Lepisosteus oculatus: one gene and its partners. The protein of the gene in region 2 interacts with the protein of the main gene of each other region in a biochemical or structural test. Links are inferred from orthologs where the notes say so. Each region holds a gene or a part of one and is shown on either strand. Other genes may lie near its edges.

Region 1 (7,429 bases), on a different chromosome or scaffold from region 2:
TATGTGTAAGGATATGTATCGTTGCTGCTGTATTTTTAGAAATAGTACCTGCACCAACACCTTTCTTGCTAGTCTGCTAGGTTTTAGAAGCTGTATCTTGCGCATTGACTAATTTGTATTTTTGGTGTTTTTAATTTATCTTTGCATGAGATCACTTTCAGATTAATACTATAATTCTGTAAACAATAAAATCCCAAAGTAAAAGCCCAAAGAATAACACATATTCAATATAACAAATATTCAAAATAACAAAGATAAAAAAGATAAAAGTTACACATTAACTGATTAGTAAATTGAAGTTCAGCCATTATTCTACAAATCAATTATTAATGTCAATCTGTTTGTGTCTAAACATGAATCATTTTCTTACTAGTTAGTTACAGGACCTAAGAGTATTCTGTTGTTAAAGGCCTTGTCATGAGAATCTTTTCACCATATAATATGAAAAATAACAGTTCCTATTACTATTGTAGGCCAATATAATATCATTCACACATTTAATGATGAATTTTTAAACCGCACTATGAAACAGCAAACTCAAAGGAGATTAAGCTCTAAAGAAAAAAATTATATCACTTTTACAGATATGGTCATACATATTGGATACTTGCAAGTGCAAAGCACTTCAACCCCCAGTACTCGCAATTTACACACTCAGTTCTCGATGGCGGCTTACCACTGAGTATAAACAAGACAAAATATTTTTAATTTGTCATTTGCAAATGGGCGATAGTTCAGGATTTTCAAGAAAATAAATGAAACAGATGACTATTACTCACTTAGGTCTCACCTATGCTTTCAGTCTTAATTATTGAAACTTGCATGGCAATAATAATAATACATTGACCTCCATGAAGTCAGTATGTTCTCATTTATAGGTTGTAATATTAAAAACCTTTTTGAGATCCATTAGTGAAACAAAATGTACTAACCTTCAACATAAAAAATACAAACTAAAGGTTACAGTGGTATAAATCTGGACTTCCGATAAAATTAAACGAAATGTATATATATGTATCTTTAAATAGAGGAGGCAGAATGAGAAAATTGGAACACACATCTGAAAATGAGCACCAAGAGAAGAATCAGACACACTAATATATAATTACACATACTACACCATTTCTTACACTGCTATTATATTTGTTTTTAATTATCGCTAAATTACTTTATTTTAGTTTTAATCAACATGTTAAAACCATAAAGTAACACCCAAAATTAATTTAAAGTACTAAATATATAGTAAAAACAATGCATTTTGTGTTCCATAGTGGTTTGTTCTAAACATTTGAAGCAGATAACCTCTGATACAGTACGTCTTACAAGTAGTTAATGGTTTGGATGCTGAAGACTAATTACCCTTTGAGTAAAAGTTTACTAGAAGGACACACCCTAAGTTTCAAAACCAGTAGAAAAATGTTATCATTAATTTTGGCATTCATTGCATTCAATAACATACAGTATCCAGAAGATGCAGTACATTTCTATTTAATACATTTCAGAATTAAAACACCTTTGATATTTGTCTCACAGTGATTTTGTTTCTGGAAACTAATTTAAAAAATTGTATTCTGGCAACAGGAACAAATACGTTACAAATTTTGGCAGTATGAATGTTACCATTAAACTTACTACATTGGTTTACTTTGTTATAATATGTATTTCTATTTTATTTTGTTTTTTTCCTAAGACTCATAGTGTATTAACTTTAAAGTAATGCTCAATGTTAAAAGAGGAACTGCAAAAAAATATGAAGGGAGTGGCAAATGTATGATTAGTGAGCGATGAAATAATGCAGATTTTTATATCAAATAATTCAGTCCAGTACTTTCAACAGAGTTTGTGTACTTTTTTAAAAAGTTTACATGAACATTTTACTGCTTGTTTTTTTTAAATGGTCACCTTATGATTTATTTTCTTTCTACTTATTCTGTGTTCAACTTAATCTCTTTAACAGTAAATTATTTTGTAAATTTAGCACTGCCAAAATCTCTTTTCTCTACAAAACAACTTTTTCCAGTTTGAGGAGCATTGTTTATATTTTTGTCAATATTTTATTAGAGATATAAAAATTCAAACTAACCACTGCAAAAAAGATTTGGAAGCAATCAAATGATTAATTGAATTCATTAACTGTTTTTATGAAGTCATCTTTTTCTTTGTCTGTTCACTACTATATAAAATATTTTCAGCACATTTAAGAGGGATGTCATGAAACCATCAATGAGAACTGAAAAATTACAGGAACAAAAATATGAATACTACAAGATACTATAAACTTAATTTAACTGAGATCTTTTTAATGACAATAAAAATTTTGGGGAAATTTCAAAAGATAGGTTTTGTGGGCATAAGAAGGCCTTTAGTTTAAAATCTGAATAAATAACAAAAAATAACCAACCTCAATAAAAATACATAAATAATGAAAAGCTAATGTAACCCAAAAACTGTAGCGAAACAATACCTATTTGGTGAATTATGTTAAAAAAGGTTCTCTTTTCTTCACTTAAATATTAACTAGTTATATGTAGTCAACATGAAACTGCCATACTAATGGAAGCACAAAACTGTTACTTAATTGAAAAGTATAACCCTTTTTCTAATATATGAGGAAAGTTAATTAAGCAGAGCAGTTTAAATAAACCAATCAAAAAAAACATTTTAATCTGTCACAACCAGGGACTACCAAAAAATATGATCCGCTACATACCTTCACAAACGATGCCCAAGACCAGCAAACCGACACATAGTGTCAGCTTCAGTCCAAAAAGACCTGTCATTTCCAGAGTTCAGCAAAGTCCTTCCGAAACACCATGCGTCCTATTGAGAATCAGCATAAGAATAATTTTTTAAAAACAGTTTTTTTATTTTTTTACTTGAAATGGGTATAATTGAGCAACGTTTTACATACGTTTTTCTTGCCTGCTTATCAGTCCGAGTGCAGTTTCCTCTGTGTGTTACCCAAACCCTAACCACTCGCTTCTTGTCATGCTACTGTGAATGATGTCAGATAGAAAGTCGTACCTACATTTTTAACATGCTCTTGGTCCATTCACTGCAGGAAGTCAGGTTATAAGTGAATTTCTACTGCGCCACATTTAGTTCTTCCACTCAACTTTGAAAACAGCCATAGACAGAAGTTGATTGTTTTCTTGTACCAAATAATTCAGGAAAAACAATTGTGCAACACTCTTAATTTCAAATCATACAAACTCCAGATTGTGACTTTGAAGATTCAGTATCATCATTTTTGAAAGGATTTCTGATATTTTGCCAGAATAATGGTTTTCAGTGTGTCTATTTGGTGCAATTAATGGGATTCAGGCTTTCCTAATAGGCCTTAACATAAATTATTATTTTTGTTACTTCCAAACAGTGGAACAGTTTAGCAGATTTGGATTTTTTTTTACACCCAGCACTTTTTTGTCTAGTCATTTTTTAAAGACAGCTTAATTCCTCCTTGTTTAAACTTAAACTTTTAAATGAATAATTTTAAAGCAACACAAAGTTTCAGACTATGCCACAGTAGATGTAGTGAGCTGGTCACAGCCACCTTGATGGTAAATTATTGGAGCTGTTTTTACCAGCAGTTATACTGTAACAATGTGTTTTTAAATTAAGATTACTTTTTGTTTAATCTTCTTATTTTCTATCACGTACTATACAAGCCTTTCATTCTATTTTTTTTTAAATAATTCTCACACTTACACAGCAAAGTGCTGTTCTGTACACTCTACTCAAAGTGCACTACACAGATAATGGGGACTCCCCTCTAATGCCACCTGTGTAGCCCCACCTGGATGATGTGGTGGCAGCCAAAGTATGCCAGTACACTCACCACACACCAGCTACCAGTGGGACTTTTCTACTTTCATTCATTTTAACATGTCTTACAAAGTCCTTTGTGATAATAATAATGACGTGTGATGCTGTAGCGGCTGCACCGCCCCCTGTAGCCATGTGCATGCAATGCATACTGGGAACGACGCCGGAGGGGCGGGACTACCGGACTGTATATAGTTGGACGGGGGCTGTGAGACGTCTCCCTTTCGTGTCTGTGTATAGTGTAGGTATTGTACTGTATTCCCTGTGTCCCTGTGTGTACTAAATGTGCTGCCAACACACATCAGAGCTGTATGCCTGCGTCATTCCATACCAAAACCCCATGGTCATTACATTGGTGTTTGGAGCGGGACAGAATGGAGCGGCGCAATGAATGAGAATGAGAGTGGCGCGGAGAGCTCCAGCGAGAGGCAGCGGGAGCCCACAGAGAGAGGCCCGGCGCGCGGAGAGAGGCCTGGTGCGCGGAGACGCCCAGCTAGACACAGTAGAAGCGGCTTGGTGAGAGGCTTGGCATGCAGAGAGAGGCCCAGTGCACGGAGAGAGCTTCAGCGAGAGCCCCGGGCAAGAGGAGCAGCAGAGCCCCGGGAGCAGCCTGCCTTGCATGTGCAGCCTGGAGGGACAGTTTGGAGTCAGGGATGCCTGATTCCTCAGGTGGGGGCAGTGTAGCACCCACGTGGGACGCTGTAGTGGCTGCACCGCCGCCTATAGCCATGCGCACGCAAGGCGGCTGGGAACAGTGCCTGAGGGGCGGGACTACCATATATAGTTGTTTGGGAGCTGTGAGACGCTCTTTCCCTTTCGTGTATAGTGTAGGTGTTGTGCTGCATTCCCTGTGTGTGTAACCCTCTTCAGCAGCATTAATAAATGTTCTGCCAACCCACGTCAAAGCTGTATGCCTGCTTCATTCCATACTGAAACCCAGCAGTCATTACAATAATAATAATAATGAAGAATTTCTTACACTTACTGTACATGGTGATTTCTGGACACTCCATTCAAAGCACTTTACAGGTAATGGGAACTCTCCACCACCACCAATGTGCAGCATCCACGGGGATAATGTGACACTTTCATTGTTGAGAACTATACTGCACAGAGAAGTAAAGCCATTGAATATGTGGTAGGGAGTAAAACTATTGCTCAGATTTGGTGTGGATTTTATAAGGTCCAAACAGATGTAGAACAAAAGATATTGGCAGCAGTGTTGGTGAACCAGTAGGCGCCATTCTTCTCTCTGGACCAGACCCTCCAAACCTGAGGACACAGGTATACCATAGGATGTGCTGTCTTCTGCCTAAAAAATTAAACTATGGTCCTGATTAATTGGTCATGAATGATCTCAGTGCATTTTTAAAATAAAATAAGGGGGTTTTAGCTCTGATGTTATGGTGAAATTCCGTTCTTGGCTTGCACAATCCGGCCTTCCTAAAGTTCTAATCCTTTTTCTTTTTGGTGAGGAAGTTTCTCACAACTTTTCTTGAACTGTCATGTAGTAAGACTGCTGGCACATGACTCCTGAATGACACCCCAGTAAGTTCTGCTCTTTTGTCTTATATGTAAAACACTTTAGTGTATAAATGCAAAGAAACATCATTATACAAGCAGTAAACATTGGGAGGAACGAACATGGGATTTAATAGAATGAAGGTTGAGTTTTGGTGTAGTTTTGGTTAGCATAGTTTTGGTTTGGGTTCAAATGCACCCAAGATTAAAGGGATTCATATCAAGATTTCCCTGAGATTACAAAAAGACGATTTGCTGTTATCTTTTAGTGGTAAGCTACACTAACTTCTTTCAAAAAATTTCAACAAAATATTTTTCATCCCCATACTTTGTGAATGGGGGCACTGTCGATAAGCCAGAGCCAATTCCAATTTCACAGGCATTTTGAGAAAAATTTGAATTGTAATTTTAATCAAAAACTGTCATTTTTTTCTGTTTCATTTTTTCATTGCATCATATGAGAATTGAAAAACAGTTCTAGGCAAGACAATTGCAGAAATGTTGCAAGGAGTAATAACTGAAGCGTGGATTAAAGGAGCCACATCCTGTGCCTTTGTGTATAAAAACCTGAGCTGACAAAGGACCAACAGACTGATTTGAAAGGTGTAAATCATAACAGTGAAGCAGTGTATATTGTATGATGCACAATGACTGTGGATTATTATATTTGTTTCCTGCATTCCCATGAAACTCTTCTTATTTTTAACTTGTTCAGATCATACAATGATCAGTTCATTTTTAGTTGCATTACAGCCCTTTAGTCTTTTCAAACAAAATCTTGGTCCAGACTTGATTTTTAGATGTCCAACTACAGTATTAGTTGGTTGGTATTAGACTATAGTATCTGAATCTGAGTGTTTACATTTGCATTAAGTTTTATTATATTGGGGAAATTTACTTTTAAAAAATAAAAATTTCTTATGAAAGGAACTACTTTATAAAATTAATAGTAGAAAATTAGTCCTCAAAGACTAATCAGTTTGTAGTGATTCTATTCTATTCTGTGTGTAGTTAACAAATAATGTAACATTGCCTACTGTACAATATATTAAGCAATTTATTTCATTTTAATTTTAGACCACTTATAACTGTAAGTGATTACTTCATATTAAACAGTCATGATGGATGTAAGTTGTGAATCTGCTCAAACATCAGTTACGCATTTTGTGGTACATTGATAACTGAGAGCATTTACGTTGAGGGAATTCACAGATGGCAGTACCACTCCAACGTATGAATGCTGCTTAGGAGTGGATTTAAGTGCTTATGCACAAAGTTTGCACCCTCCATTTTTAGCAAGCTCAGAAAAGGAAGTTATGCTGCTCTGTGACTCACCGTTTGGTGTATCATCAGTGACAGGGGTTGAAATTCAGAAATTAAGGTTATCAATTTGCACAGCAAACTTAGACCTTTGACTCTGAAAGATGATGTGAAATTATGTTGATGGAGTTGGTTAAAAAAGTTTGCGACCGCAACATAACTTCAATTTTGTTTTAAATCATGTGTGTTACAAAGATTGCCATCATCCTGTACTGTGTTTTTTTTTAATAAAGCATCACAATCTTTATTTCTATAATAGTACAATTTCTAGTACATCCTAATCTTGATCCTGCTTTATGTTTATCATTTTGTAAACACTGTCAACATCGCTGGAATGCATCCAGCCCTGCATAAAGAGCTTGAAAAGTGAATGTTTTTAGTGGGACTTTCAGTCACTGAGACATTCACTGAATCACTGCTTAGACAATGTAGATTAACACAAAAATCAGTTAATTGAACAAGTTGTGGTCGTTGTTTCCTTAACACCACTATAATAGGCACTAAGAATTCCTTTATTATATCACAAATTAACCCATTCACGAGTATAACTTTTGATTAATGGTTTATATAATAGAATAAACAACATTTCTTTGACAGTTTCGCTGGAACGCTCCCTACCACTGGTCAGTTTTCAGTTTTCAGTAGTGAAAATTGAATTTGAGTAACAGTAAAAAGCCCTGATTCCACTGCAGTATAACTTCTTTTTTTAACATGCTCAAGATGGAGGGAGCAAACCTTGTGCATAAGCATTTCATGACATAAG
Region 2 (7,829 bases):
CTGATCTGAGAAGCTGCTGCGTCAATACTTCTTTAAAAGTATTCTGTCAATACTTCTTTAAAAGAACTTGATTTTTTTTTTTTAAAAGAAGACAAGCCCTAAGTGACAGAACAACGTATCGTCGTTCTGGACTCTGATGCCGAGAGAACTCAGCAGGAAGATGAGAGCTTGGTGCTGGCACAGCTGGCCTGCCCAGCGCCCTGCACAGCAGTAACTGTGATTTATGACCTTGTGCTGAATACGCTGGCCACATATTGCTTTTTAATCACCGTTATCGAACCATTACACATCATAAAACATATCAAGGCCTTCTCGGCTACAGAAAAATAAAGTGATTTTGCAAATTCCTGCTGGTAGGAATAACGGCAGTCAGCATTAACAAAGAGTGACAGTTTTTTATCTGTACAGTAATTCAGCTCATGCAGTGTGCTGTCCCTTACAAGCAGAGGCTTTCTCACTGGTCTGAAGTGCTCTCTGTCCACTGGATAGTCATTATCCTGAAGTGCAGAGATCATTATGTTCTTCATAACTGCCCCATAAAAGTGTTAACTGCAGCTTGACTGGAAAATGGAGAGGAGTAGAATACAAACCAAGGAAGCAACTGTCTCTTCTTCCTACCTGTTTAAACCGAATTTATGTTTCTTGTTCCATTTTATATTGCCACCTCTTGTGTCCTGACATGTTTCACTGTTGGGGGGGGGTTAAAATTTAGTTTTCATAAAACATAAACAAGATTTATCATCTAAACAAAGATTTTTTTTTTCAGGAAAAAGGAAAATACCCACAAACAATAAGCACATTATTTGAAGGCCCATCATTCAGCTTCAAAACCACAATGATCCTCTTTATGAAAAACACTATATCAAATAAGGAACTCTTAGACAAGTTTAAAATGAAGTCTGTAAAGCAAAGTGTATTATACTGTACACGTTTCCTGTCACGTCAAGACATGTTAAAGAGCTTTGTGATTAAGAGAATGATGAAACAACACAAATGTATGTTTTAAACTACAATGCATGCCGCTGTTTGTAGCTAAGAAATACAATAAATAGCTCTGGGCAAAATACATGCAAAAGACCTGTGATGCAAGCATGGTTTATTTTTAGAGTTCATGTCCAACAATTTGCATTTCTAGGCTGATAAATCACATTCATTGTTAAGAGACATATGACAGAATTGTTATGGTAACATGAATGTAATTCTGTAAACCACTGTCCACATCTGATGTGCTTTCACAAGTTTCCCCATATTGCTATCTCTAGGGGCAGGTTTAGATTTGAATGCTGTTGCAGTCTCTGACTAAGTGTATTAGGTGAAAGGTGTTGACTTCAAATGAGCAAGACCGCTCTTCAAATGTCATCACTTCAGGTGAACTGAAAAAAACCCTGCATTCTGGCAGCAAAGATCTTAAGACTCAAATCATCTGCTCCCCCTGTTGCTGTGTAGTGTTTCTGACAATTTTTATCTTCCATGTACAAATTACATCCCTGGCCTGAGAGTAAGATGATTAATCAGAGGAATAGTATTTAATGGATACTACTGTATATCTCTGCTCAGCCATAAAACCTTGTGTTGTGTGTTTGACCTAAAAAAGCTCTTTTTAAAATGCATCAAAGCGTAGGTTAGATCTGCAGTCTCTAATAAGCCTTGATGTCACAGCGTGCGTAATTCTTTAAAGCCAGATAACTGAAACTGTGATGTTGGTACTGCAGCTGACATCACCTCTTTCTATTGACAGAAAGGTTTGGAAGAGATTTCAGAAAATGCCCTGTCCTTTTGTCAGCACAAAAGAATCTGTAGAATTGGGTTAAAGGACTGAGAAACCTTACAAACACAACGTAAGAGGATTTGTGCTTCCATTACCAATACCTTGACTTGTAGAAATGTTGCTTTACATGACATTGCAGAGAAAGTCCTGAGTAATGATCAGAATGTCAGCCCACCTGTTTGTACCATTGATTCCAAATGCTTCTTGTATCTAAGTCAGATACCCTGGGATAATATGATATTTTTGTATTTGCCAGGTGGGTCAAACATTTGATTAAACCCAGGCTGTTAAAATGAAGACTTTTTGTCAAACAAATAGTAGGCAAAGGAATCTTGGTTTGTACCTGGTCTAACATGAAGTTAACGCACTGACGAATGCTAGGACCACAGAACTGGACATTAAAACATAAGCAACGTGCAACCTGTGATGACAACTGGGGGAGAATACCCTGGACAGGTGAGGCCAGAGGACGCATCTGAGGACAGTTTGGTAATTGTTTATTCCTGATTCCATGCAAAAGAGAGTGTGTTCTCCCTTTCTGTTGTGACAAAAATGCTTCATTCCTTTAGGATACTTTAAAGCTGTTCTTTAAAAAAAAAACAAGCCTTCTTTCTATATATAACATGTGAACACTGGCACCTTGTTTTACAGCAGTGTACGTATGTGAATTCAAACACTACTTGTTCCTATTTCCTGTCAGTGAGTACTGCAGCTCAGCATGCAGACCGCAACAAAACGATGTGGTTTTGCATGCTATCAGCTCGCATTTTCAGACAATGATATCAGACACTGCTGAAAGAACTGTGGTATACATGTCATTTTCAATGTAGTTTTACATTTTGTATGATTTCCTTTTGAGTTACACCTACATTGAAAATGTGCTTTCTGGAGAGAACTGGGTTTTGGTGCTCAACCCCTCAAGTTTCATAACATAATCTTTCGAGGGCAGGGACACTTGTTCAGCGCAGCAAAGGGTTCTAATGTCTCTTTTCCTTTTCATTATCACCATCACCAGTATTTTAAGTCAGTCTCCAGAGAGATCTAAACAAGGCTGGCTCGTGTCTAAGGGCTATAAATACCCACGTGCAGAAACGCACACTTTTTCCATACAGCTTCTTTACCTAAAAAACAACTTTTTTGTGCCGAATTTAAGAACTTTTCTGGGGAGGTGCGAGGACGGGCAGGAGGGAATAAACTGCACCTTTTCCACAAAATACCAGCCAATAAAAAAAAAAACCCAACAAAACTTCCTGCTGAGCCAGGAACCCACACCTGCCGGTCAGGTAACTGTTCACAGGTGAGCCGAACGCCAGCCCATTCAGCGTATGAATGAATAGCCCGAGGGCGTGATGTCCTTGTGTGGACACTAGCAAGGGACAATGCACAGAACAATGGGTTGTCACCATGACAACCCCTTCCAGCATCCATTCCCCACTGTGGCCTCTGGTCAGTCTTGATGCAGCTGACCACTGCTGACAACTGATTTACAGGAAACTATGGTCAGTGAAGCCACTTAAAAGATGTGTTTGTATTTTTGTATTTTTTTTGTGTTTGCTTTCTTCTCACAGGCCGTACGAAAGAAAAAGAAACTAGTTTTAAAAATCCGAAATACAGTTCATCTCCCTTTGATGGGTCTTGCAATTTCAGCGTGTAAACAAGGAGGTTTGCAATGTATTGAGTGAACAAATGAGAAAAATCAGTGGGGTTTCTGCGTACAGTATTAAGGATGGTGCATTCAAACAGATGTAACCTTTTTTAAGAACAGGCGATCAGGGACTTTTCTGTGATTCAGGCACAAAACCCACAAGTGCTATGGCCTACACAGTACTCAAAATCAAAATCAAAGATGACATCTTGTTCCATGAAATACTTCACGTGTAGTTTTAGTTTAATTGTTCATGTTTTGAAATCCCCCATCTTTACAGGAAGTCATTTCTTTGAAAGATTAAACTTGATAAATTATTAATTAAATGGCGCCCTCAGTGTTGAAATACAGGGACAGATTGTAAATCATCCATCAGCAACAGTTTTAGTGCTGAATCTCTCTGTTGGAACACTGATGCGAATGATAAAAAAAAGTGTCCTTTAAGAATCTTTGACTCTTGATGAGCAACCCCTAAAATACATTTCTGTAAACTTTGAAAGATACGTGATGTCAATCGTGGGGCTTTGAGCCCACACAAAGACATCAGAGAACTGTTCGTTCTCCAAATGAATGTGTTTTCACAACATTCTTCCAGATAACAGACCACATACAGACACGAGGACAGCATTTTCTGTTCTTGATTTTTATATAACGTAACAGTTTTGGAAGAGATCATGCCTCTGACAACTATACGCTATAAGCAGGTCATAGTTAGTGCTCCACAGAGGAGAATCAGACTGCACCAACGTGGCAGATGTCTGAATCAGAATCAGAGGTTCAGCCTGCCTGCCAGGGGCAAATTGCAAACCCAGTCCCTGATGGTGATGTCTCGTTCTGTGGCAGTTTCTCCCTAGCGCCCACTGGAGACTCACCAGCTGATGCCGAGTGCTTGATTTGTGATCTGTTGGTAAGCCCATGTTTATGGTTTAATCATTAGACAAGACAGATGTAAAACCCTTTTATTCTGACGTGCGTCTTTAAAAAGCCCATTTCAACAGAACAGAAGGGCGAGCCAAATTCATGCTTATATGTGTCTCCATTCAGGACTTCTCTTCTACACTTGGAGACAACATTGTCAGGCCTCTGGGCTGGCTTCCCTCATCACAATAACACCTCATGGCCCGAGATTGACCAATGTCGTTTTTCAACCCAAAGCCAAAAATGAGTTAGCAAGCAAAAATCCCTCTGCTCCATGACTTTTCAGTCCTTTCGAGTGGCAGGACCGAGGAGCATCCTGTGTAGCTGTCAGATGACTCAGTTGTGCTGACCGTGGGAGTCACAAAGGAGAGGATTACAGAACAGAAAAAGATCTCTTTGGAATACCCCTGGCTCGTGAGGAAACCAAAACCAGGTTATGTTGATAAAAGACAAAGCGCACACACACACACACAGACACACACACACACACACACACACACACACACAAGAACTACATGGTATTCTAACCCAAATCTGAATGAGGCTAACGTTCACAGCACAGCAGCTGGGACACCTGCGATAATGCATATCCCTGCTCAGGGCTGTATTGCAGTTAGAGGCTGAGGTACTCTCCACCAGAGACAGGAAGCCCTGACTTTCTGGTTTCTTAGCCGTTGTGGTGTGAGAACTCACACATGTCAAGGTTTGAAGGGTGGATGCGCCATCAGTTCATCTGCTCTGGGAGGGACAGAAACCTTTGCTTTCCTCGCGGAACTCTCCATAGCACAAGATCCTCAGCCTAGTTCTGTTTTAAGGGAGAAAGTGGGAATCTGCGTCACTTATCTACGTTTTACCTGAAGACTTGGCATGCAGGCTGTTGTCATCAGCAGTTTGGGCGAGTCCCCAGGACATTAGAATGTAGAAGACTCTCCAGGACAAGGCCCACACTTATCAGGTAAGTTCACGCAAGCTCATAATGATGGGCTCAAGCCAACAGTATTTGTGTTTTCTGCAAAATTGAGAGTTTTTAGGACAACAGACCGTGGAGTCTAGGACCCCATCAATGCAGCTGATGCTATTCCACACGACATCCTTTAGAAAGACAACAGTTTTCCAGAATACAATTCAAACAATGGCTGACAATGTTCCATCATGTTTTCGCATCTATTGTCTGATGTATGCAGAGTACTTGGATGTAGTGAAGTCATGTTAGTGATTTATAAGAATATGTAAGGATACCCATATTTTGTACTATTGATTTTTTTTAATTCCTTCATTTGCTTCAGAGTTTTGGTTTATGCTTTAAAAGCTTTTTATTTATTTTTTTAATTTAATCAAAAACCCTTTTCAGCCCATGTGTCCTAAATGAAATAAATGTCAAGGTGTTTGTCTATCTCATGCACTTGCATTCTCTGGTGTGTAAAAGTAAAAGTCAGGTTCCACTCTAGATGGGTTCTGCTCAAATTGAATTGAACTGAAAAATGATTCTACTCAAAAGTTACTTGAACTTGAACTCAAGCTTTATTGCCACGTGTAACTGGTATGCGTACTGGTACAATGGAATTCTTACTTACAGAAAGTCTCTCGATTGTTAAAACAAGTGCAAAAACGCAAAGTGCAGACAGTGCATCAAGATAATATACAAACAAACAGTAAACAGTTTGAATGTAAAGTTAGAGGAGAAAGTTCCAGAAAATGAGACATAAAAATGTCATGGTGCTGGACCGTGTACAATTTAGAAAGGTGAAACCATTTTCATGGGACTTAAAGACACAATATGCATGTGATATGGTATGAGGTGAAAAAAGACAGGTTATTGCTATGAACACAACTGTGTCCAGATAGTTTCTTCTATGGTTGTGTGTTGTGTGTTCTGTTTTGAAATGCTAGGAGAAATCAAAGTTTGATCCATCAAAGCAAAAAAAAACATGACGCTCCTAGCAGTATAATGTCATTCAGGAAAAACTAGCAAAAACCGAGCTTCAGCAGTCAGCCAGTGAATTACAGTGATGAGCTTTGTGAAGGGGCTTGGTTCACATTTAATTGGTTTCTTTAAGGATAATTCAAAGGGCGTAGAAATGCCCTTTGCCCTTTTAAGCGTAGAAATGAATTTTTATAAAATCATTTATAACTTTTTTATGGCAAGTTAATACCAAATACTGTGCCTGAGAGGTCAGCAGAGCTCTGACGCATGTGTACATTTGCAAGTGGAGATTTTAGCAGTAAGAGCAGGAGGCAGCAGGAATACTTTACACAGAGACGGGTAAGTGTTTTGGTTCTGTGGTCTGGCTTTTATTGCGAAGTCTCGGGCAATAAAAAGGCGTATTGTGATGTTCTAAATTTCCACTTGGAGGGACTTATGTATGGACAAAAAAAGATACTTGTCTGATCAGCATGGCACTGTATTACCTAGGGATCCATTAAAATGATCTGAATTCTGAAAGACTTGTCCCCTCTGCAGAACTATGAGTTCTGAGTGAATGGACCCCTACACTGGGAGGGCGGCAGTTTAATTATTCAAAATCATTTACATTGAAAATAATTTAAAAACGAAGTTTTAAAGACTCTCTGTTTTCTTCGACACTCAGTGAAGAAACATGCTGTCCCGTTGTCGTAGTACTTATTTTTCCAACTTCATGATGATATACTCTTCAATATGCACATTCTAATTGTTTGATGTGTTGGTTGGATTAGAAACAAAGGTCAGTTAAATAAGTGTAGATGTGACTGAGAGAGATGTTACTATGTCATTCATCTTTTGTATTCATTTCTTGTCAGGGCCCAAGCTGGCTAGTTGGTATTGTTGTATCTATGTAGTTCAGCATAGAATAAACCTATTACTTGTTGTATCTATTACATGAAAATTGTATTTCTGTAGCTTGTAGTTTTAGGGGTTAAAACACGGCCTCGTATGCTTGGTGGACGGACTGGACACTTCACACCAGAGTGTGATCTGTTTTGTATCACCATACCAAAAACAGATTTTTTTAAGTGTGACCATGATTATATTTCCTACCACAGAATGTTGTGCAGAGAACTGGTACAAAATGGAAGTGCAGCTGCAAGGGCAGGGAAGTTTAAAAAGGTTTGGGCCTGCTTAATGTCCCTGTTCATGACATGAAGTCTTGAGTAGCACCAGGCTGGTTGAAGGTGGTAAGAGTAATACCAAATAATAATAATAATAATAATTATGATAATAATAATAATAATAATAATAATAATAATGTCCAGGACCTGCACTGGAATGATTCTTACACTATTTAAGCTGCCTGATTATTACCAATAATACCACTTCACCTGTTATGACACTTTCACAATGCTATTACACTATAATAACGGGGTTGTTAGCCACTTATTAAAAATAAATTAGCTTCATAAGCAGTTCCCCCAGGTCATGTGCTTAGGAATCTGTAAGGCTGTAATTTATCTCCCCATCAGTGCTGCTTTTCACCAGGAACTCGGAACAAGAGCGAAAAGAGACAGGTGATTCATAACGTG
Region 3 (7,738 bases), on a different chromosome or scaffold from region 2:
ATTCACTGTGGTTTTTTCTGGTCACCTTTATTACGAGCCATTTCTTTGAAATGGATGTTTTTGCAGAAATCGTATAGATGAGGTAATTTTCAAAAATTCCTCTGGTAAATTTGGCCTTTGTTTTTCAAATCACCCCTATACAGTAGCTATTGATTATAGCTTACCAATTAACACCTTCAAACAGTTTAAGAGTAATAAACCCTTTTCATCACCCAGAGGTCAGAAGAAACATGGGGTTTTTCATCTCATCTTCAACTGTCTTTTTCAGAAAAAAAAGTTCAAGTTCAAGTTACAGTGGAATTAAATATTGGTCCTTCTGGCCCATGATGCAATTACAAACAAGACACTGACATTGTAGACAGGATACACATAGTGCAATTACTACTAAAAATAATAATACTAATATTGATAAATAGGATGGTTCAAACTAAGACAGTGTACACCAGAACAGAGGCAGTGTACACAGGAGATACTCATTTACTCATTTACTCAACTATTACAGAATAGTATAAAAAATACATCTTACAGTGAATGGAAAAAAAAGGTTCATTGCACATTTTGCAGATATGCAGGTTCACATGATAAGAAAGCTGTCCATGCCTGGCACTGAAGCAAAATGCAGCTGCAATCTTTCTGGTGTCTAGCCTTGCTCCACTGGTTGAGGTAACATACAATAAAAACTCTTCATTCTTACTATGACGCTGAACCTCAGAAATGCCATCCCTCTTTGTAGAATTACAGGAATAAAATATTTGATTTGATCAGTAAGTTTAATTTAAAGGCCAGTTTAACCAGATGTCTGGGCAGGTCCAACACATTGCATGTCAGTGTGTAGCAAATACAGTACCTCTATGGAAACAAAATACATTACATTCATGTAATGACACGGAATCCCATAAATACCAAAGAATAAGGTATTTGTGAATTTCGTAATATGGGCCCCATAAACAAAAAACATTATAGAAAGACTTTATTAAAGGAGCACTTCATGATGTCACTATTCGATTTGCTACCCACAACCTAGAAAGCAGTGTGCATCTGCAGTGATTTCGTTTTTTTACTGTATGAAACCTTTCAGTGTCTTTTGCCGGATTTCTCAGAGCTGCCACTAGAGGGCAGATTCCATTTGAATATAAAAGGCAACTTTATCAGAACTCAGAGCTGCAATTTCATATTGCGCTTAACAGCAAATACTGACACAAAACTTTCATGCAGCGGAGAAATACATGTTAAGTAATAATTTATTGATCACCACCGATTGTTGTTTTTTTTTGCAGTTGAAGGGCACACTGGCGCTAAGTATAAGTACAGAGAAGTTTGTGATTATATCATTCTGGCTATCATCTGCCAAGGGAAGGTGAATCAGGAAAGAGATCCAGCATTTCACTAACATCCACAGAATGTGTGGCTCACTTGTTGGAGATCAACCCAGTGAGATCTGAGAACATAGGAGGTCCTGATGAAGAGAAGGTAAGATGATAATGTTGGCTGGACGTTTCAATCAAAACTCTATTGTGCAACTGATTTTTATACAGAGATAAGCTTGTAGCCCTTCCAGCCCTTCATAAGAAGGCCTTTAGGCAGATGCACAACAACGAGGAGTGGAGCTCATATCATTGGTCCTCCTCCTCACCTGCAGGATTTGGAATGAGGAAAAAAATCTGAGATGATTTCTGGGATGCCATGAGCGTGTGGATATTACAGAGGTTTCTCTGTCTATCACAGGGCGATCATCAGCTACACCCTTCAGAATTGTCAGTGTGTGCTAAGGCCAGAACTGACACAATGTTCACTGTTCACCAGTGGCAGGAAAAGACAGAAAACTTTCTACTACTGTATATGGCTTTTTTTGACTTTACAAAATGAAAACCACTAATTGTATCAATGAAGAAGCCATATAGAGAATCCATGTGAAGTACTGATGCCTTCCAAATTTTGTCTTTGCCTGATAATAAAAATGATAATATTTGAGCACTGAATGACAGTATCTATCATGACCCCCCGTTGAAGTTTAGGCAAGAATCAAGCAAAGCATGATATCATATCTGGTCACCACAGTCTCCTAGTTGTTGTTGCTTGTTCTAAATTTTCTGATGGAAGAGTATTTAACTCTTTAAAACACAGCATGTAAGGTGTTCCATAGACCCATGACACAAAGTGTTTTAAGCTACCATTGAGACATGAACAGACCTCTTTTAACATCCACTAAAGCCCTCATCTATGATACGGATCCATCTGACTTTCTTCTCTATGCACCACTGAACCATGGCCTCCATGGTCAAAGATCTAAGAGTGATCATGAGGTCCAACAGCTTATTGTGGTTTAGACAGGAGATAAAAGGCTTCCAACAGTGCCATGAAACCAGAATCATTCAAATGTATGTATTAAAGATATAGTGAACAGTGATCAGTCCAATGATAAGTGATACCTGGTCTCTTCTTTCATTTCTGAATGAGCTCTCATTTTTTAAATGCTGACATATTTGACATTTTGTGAGATATTTGAAGTTTTTCGGGATGGTGACAGACAGTAACATCTTTATGCTCCAGTCATGCTTCTGTTTTGCTCTTAAGGTATTCAATGCATTGTTTAACCGCTTTAAAATATGCAGTTTCACGTAAGTGACTGGGCGTTTCTGACATGGGAAAAAATGTTCACAGAACCAGCATTACAGTCAAACTGTAATTAGATCAAATGCTGCTAGCTGTAATGGCATCAAAGCTGCATGTACTTTCCAGAAGCCTGCTCATTAATCAACTGACTAGAAGTGCTCATGACTTAATTAAAATAATATCAGTATCGTTTTATTGAAAGCAATAATGCAGATTAATGTGGAATTAAAGGTGGACTTGTTGCACAAACAAGCAGCAAGTGCCTGTTGGGACTCCTTTTGAAAAAAGTTAACCAGATTTTTTCAAATTTACCATTTTTTATACTTTGTGCCTTATAGCTCAATCTCTACAGTGGCTGTTGTAAGACAGCTAAAATATGCCCATTTCCATATGGTCCAAAACAGCAGCTACAGCAGGACTGATCCAGCTACAGGAAATGTTTGGTTGAGGTCATACTGTACTTACATTCACATACTTTTTACTTTTTTCAGCATAGACACTAAATGTTTAAACAATGTGCTCAATGTAGTCATGAAAAAGTCACAATTGTTTATGTGTTATTTGTTTAATCAGATTGTATTTAATTATTATTATGACTTATCTGAAGAACAGATTGCACTTTAGGAGCACGTAATTAATACAGGAATACAGATGATTCCGAAGGGTACACAAACATTTTTCTCACAACTGTAAGGTTGGTTTTTATTCATGTAATAAATGAAAATTGGATTTACTCATCTGAAGTACTACAGGAGAAGTGCCAGAAGCTAGATTTTTGAACAGACAATTTGTCTTCATTCTTAGTTCCCTATAATAGACTGGCAGGCTGAAATTACACTTCCTTAACCTCAGGATAGAAGTGATGCACACAGAGGTCTTTTAGAAATGTGATAGGGAAGGAAATAGAGGCAGAAGATATTTCTCCTTTTGCTTCACTATGTTCTACTTGATAAGATCCTTTTTGAAACGCATGGACTGTGCTCTCACTGACCACATTATCACAGCAACCATGAAAATATATCAGTGGTAGAACTGAAATATACAAATGCATACAATGTACAATTTTCCATCTCTTGTGAAATGTTAATTTTTAGAAGGCTAATATGTTTCACTTTCAGAAGCATACAATACACCAGTAGACATTATTTAAAAAATGTATGCATTATGACAAGCCAACCTACAGCCCCATATAGCACACAAGCAGCCTTCTGTTGAGAATCTTTGGAAATTTTCAGACAAGAAAAGCAAGTCAAACACTAAATCACAACACTGAGCTGACAGTCTGTTTGAAAAGGGAGCAAAATGAATTCACAAAGCATGTGAGTTCACTGTTGCAGCACCTGACACTGTTCTAGGCTGCAGAAGGAGCTGCACAATTCAAAGATAAGGATGCCAGTAAAGGAGAATGCATTCCTGAAACACCATGCTTACGTCAGTGTCACAATTTCCTGTTTAACATGGCAAAACCTTTTAAAAGGGGTAACAAAAGAACAGTTCTTCGAAACCTGTTGGCCAAGAGTACGTTTTATGTCATGACTGCAAATCAAGTAAACTCTATAATTGTACTTTTAAGACTTGGTTTGTCTCATCATCATCAGAAAGGGATGTCTAACTTCATACGTTGTTACTTGGCATTAAATATTTTCAAATATGTCATTTTCAGACATATCAAATCCAGACAGAGAGGTGAAAAGAGCTAGCTCAGCAGAGCACATACTGTAAAATTCACTGGAATCAATAAGACAGAAGGCACAGAGAAATGGGTCTTACCAATTTCTTTACCAATGGGAAATACCTTCTTGGGACTGATTAGCCTTTCAAACTGGATTCTGGGAGTGATGAATGCTGTCTGACTGGCTGTGCAGCCTCACCGCTTCTTGTTTTACATTTCCTAATTCCCTGTCTTGAAGCGTGATTGTGTTGTTGTCATTTCACTGCACGTCTGTAGGAGACTCTCGCAGCACAGCACACTAATTGTCCACACACATCACAGCACATGCGCACACTCAATATGGGAGAAGAGAAACGGGCTCTAGGACCCTGCATGACGGATGATATTTTTAATCTGACCACAGAACCTGTTAGCTATGCTTCCTTCAAGACAGCTCATGCAGTTCTTAACCACAGGCTCATTGGCAGTAGAGGCTGTCAGTGTGCCGGTCCCACGAGCCCCCAGTCCTGACATGTCCTACCCCAGCTGCAGGACACCCAGAGGACAAAGGGACTCAGCATGGACCAAAGGAGCATCCTGAGGAAGTTCCTGGACGAGATGCAGACCAAGGAGGCTCAGTCTGAGGAGATCTTTGCCAGCGAATATTTAGTGAGTTCATTCTTTCAAGCTGTACTTTGATACTATAATCTCCTTTAGCCCACATGAAACAAGCTCGGGCTTTGCCTCAATTAACTGAAGTTCACAGGAGTACAGAAGGAAAGTTTACAAACAAAAACTGAAAAGTTCTGAGCGCCGACTCTTTCAGTGCTGCACTAAGGAAGAAAAAAGTTTAAATCCCTTATGAACAATTCAATTCCTCTATCTTCTCATATTCTTTTTATTAGTATTTAAAGTTTTATAGTAAGTACTGTAAGATGTGGTAATGATGGTCGTCAACAATAGCTGTCGGCTTAGATATATAGAGTGTAAATGTATAGCAGCAACAATGTGTTCATTATGATATACACATGATGTGCATGTAATGTACCGAATGCACTGGTCTGTTAAATTTCTTCTACTTATGCACTATATATTGATAGTATATCTATATGTATAGTTTATAAACTATATTATGACTACATTTTTAGCACCTCTCTCAGTATAGGCCTGTAAAATAGAGTAGCTGATTTAAAACACTACAGTGCGTCTGTTTAAAAGGCTGGAAGGAAGTGATCGATGTGACGGAGTTAGTATCGCTGTCTGTAAGGCCAGGACAGAAAAGGCATTTAGTAATGCACTTATAATCACCTCTAACTCAGCACGAGCATGTAAGAGTGATATCTCATGTTAAAGAATTTTCTCAATTATTAGAGTGTTAAATATTTCCACAGCTTGTTCCTGTATGAGAATAACTGATACTATGCCATGTTGTGGTTTTACCCCTTATGTGGTGTTTGTAGAGTTCCTTGAAAATGTTCCGGTCTGACCATCATAACATGTCAGAAACAAAATGAAACAGGAACTCAAAAACAAAAGACAAATCTGCATTTTTGTTTTCTGCAAGTTTTGGTCACATTCATCTGTTAAAATCAAACTGACAATCCATAGGAGAGTTTAAAATGCAGTCAGGGTGTCTGAGCACATTGTTCCAGAGGTCCCGTTTGGGCCAGAATGTAGCACTGTGTCTGCCTCCTCTCCCTGCTGGGGCACTTCTCTCTGTAAATACTGCATGGGTGATGTGAAAGAGTACTGTATTTTTTCTCACCTACATAAATTTGCAAATCTACCTTTTGTAAGACAAAGGACCAAATTCCTTGTGCTGGTGGACACGACCTATAAACTTTGAACTTGAAGAAGACACCATTTCTGTATGTCTGTTTGTGTTTGATAGGGTGGGTGTTTTCCTAATTTACCAGCAGCATGAAAACACTGGAGAAACACTAAAAGTTTCTCATTGATTTTTAGACTTACTCTGAGCTCTGTTATTACTTACTCTGTTATGGAACAGTGTAGGCCGCTCACAGTTATGGTCTCATCACAGCTCTTGTTTAAGTGCTGCATGTTTAAAGGCAGTACTGCTTCTGAATCGTCCATTACCTAAAGTAAACTAGACACTTCTAATATTAACTTTCTTAAGCAGAAAGATCTTTATACTGTATTTATTTTTATTTTTATTTTTATTCTGTACTCTGTATTTTAACATGTTTTTCTAAAGTGTGAACTTCTCTAAATGTGACACTTCTGTTATTAAGAGCCTTGCCTGTTCCCACGAAGCCATTAAAGCTAAAGCACATACTGTAAAAATGTAAGAAAGGTTATGAGGTTGGTATTTAGAGGCTAATTGATCAGGGGATCATATCAACCCTTTTCTGGAATAAAAGCAGGGTATTGGCTTCAACAACAGACCTGAGTTGCCATAGTTTGCACTTGTATTGGTTGGTTCAGATTTCAGTGGTGAAGTCCACTGAGTTGACTGCTACAGTTGCTTTAATTGATTTTGACTATTTAAAAATCAGGTTCCTCATAGTCTTCTCTGTTCAAGACTAAAAAGATTCAGTTCCTTCAGCCTGTCAATGTACTCTCCTTTGAGACCAGGAATATATCTTGTCGCTCTACCCTAGAGCAGCATTTATAGCATGATTAAAAAATTGTACACAAAATTCTACAGAGATATTACTAGTGCAATTGTGTGCAATTTCAATACAACATCCCATTGATTTGAATTTTACACTTATAACTAAATGTTGTAACACTCTGTTTGCCTATTCTCATTGATAACACTTGACTGAACAGTTTTAGTCAGGCCTCGTGGCAGGAATAACACACTAAGGAAATGTTTACTACCCCTAGGACACCCATGAAAAACGGTGGTGCGAGGGGGGCAGTAATGTAAATGGACTAAATAATCACTTTTCCTATTTATGATTTCATTATCTCTGCATTTTACCAGTACCTCTCCATTCCCATTGCACTCATTTTACTGACACTTTTTATTCCTGCTGTGCCTGAGTAAGCACGCAACTCGTTAAACAACCCTTCATCTCTTCTCATTATGATGAATTAATGAGTAAAGGTCTACTTTCAAGAAACCTCTGAGGCTGCAGATGAGCCAAATTGCTTTGAATGGTAAAAATAAACTGCTGGTTATTGCTCTACGTTACAACCCATTTAACCTTCTCGTCCTCTGTTACAGACTTAATGCTAAAATATCAACTTTAAACAGTGCTGTTCTGGTGCTGATGGTTCTTTTGCAGCAGGGTTCTGTGGTCTTATGATATTATCAATGATATTCACTAAAAGAACCAAAATGGCGAACATGTGTTTTTATCACATACTGTACATACCTGAAACAGTTTTGGTTTGAATGGTGATAGGCTGTGGATTGCTGTGACACGGAACAGACCTGTATTGCACACTGTTACTGCGAGGAAGGATTTTGTTTTGGGGGATCTTTGTTTCTAGTACAACCAGTAT

The links. The genes of interacting proteins can lie anywhere in the genome.
Region 1: of the proteins of lck (region 2) and ptprc, one has a biochemical effect on the other in vitro, tested with the Homo sapiens proteins (5 studies listed by BioGRID and IntAct, with this or other methods). The link is inferred for Lepisosteus oculatus from reciprocal best matches to the Homo sapiens genes LCK and PTPRC.
Region 3: of the proteins of lck (region 2) and ptpn22, one has a biochemical effect on the other in vitro, tested with the Homo sapiens proteins (3 studies listed by IntAct, with this or other methods). The link is inferred for Lepisosteus oculatus from reciprocal best matches to the Homo sapiens genes LCK and PTPN22.

What each region holds. Positions count from the first base shown.
Region 1 is NC_090704.1:11,608,616-11,616,044, forward strand, and holds the start of ptprc (receptor-type tyrosine-protein phosphatase C), read right to left. Parts: upstream 3,021-7,429; 5' UTR 2,912-3,020; intron 2,821-2,911; 5' UTR 2,781-2,820; coding exon 2,711-2,780; intron 1-2,710. UniProt on the Homo sapiens protein: Protein tyrosine-protein phosphatase required for T-cell activation through the antigen receptor. Acts as a positive regulator of T-cell coactivation upon binding to DPP4.
Region 2 is NC_090706.1:3,393,826-3,401,654, forward strand, and holds the start of lck (tyrosine-protein kinase Lck), read left to right. Parts: upstream 1-4,816; 5' UTR 4,817-5,286; intron 5,287-7,829. UniProt on the Homo sapiens protein: Non-receptor tyrosine-protein kinase that plays an essential role in the selection and maturation of developing T-cells in the thymus and in the function of mature T-cells. Plays a key role in T-cell antigen receptor (TCR)-linked signal transduction pathways.
Region 3 is NC_090700.1:35,040,328-35,048,065, reverse strand, and holds the start of ptpn22 (tyrosine-protein phosphatase non-receptor type 22), read left to right. Parts: upstream 1-4,718; 5' UTR 4,719-4,843; coding exon 4,844-4,933; intron 4,934-7,738. UniProt on the Homo sapiens protein: Acts as a negative regulator of T-cell receptor (TCR) signaling by direct dephosphorylation of the Src family kinases LCK and FYN, ITAMs of the TCRz/CD3 complex, as well as ZAP70, VAV, VCP and other key signaling molecules.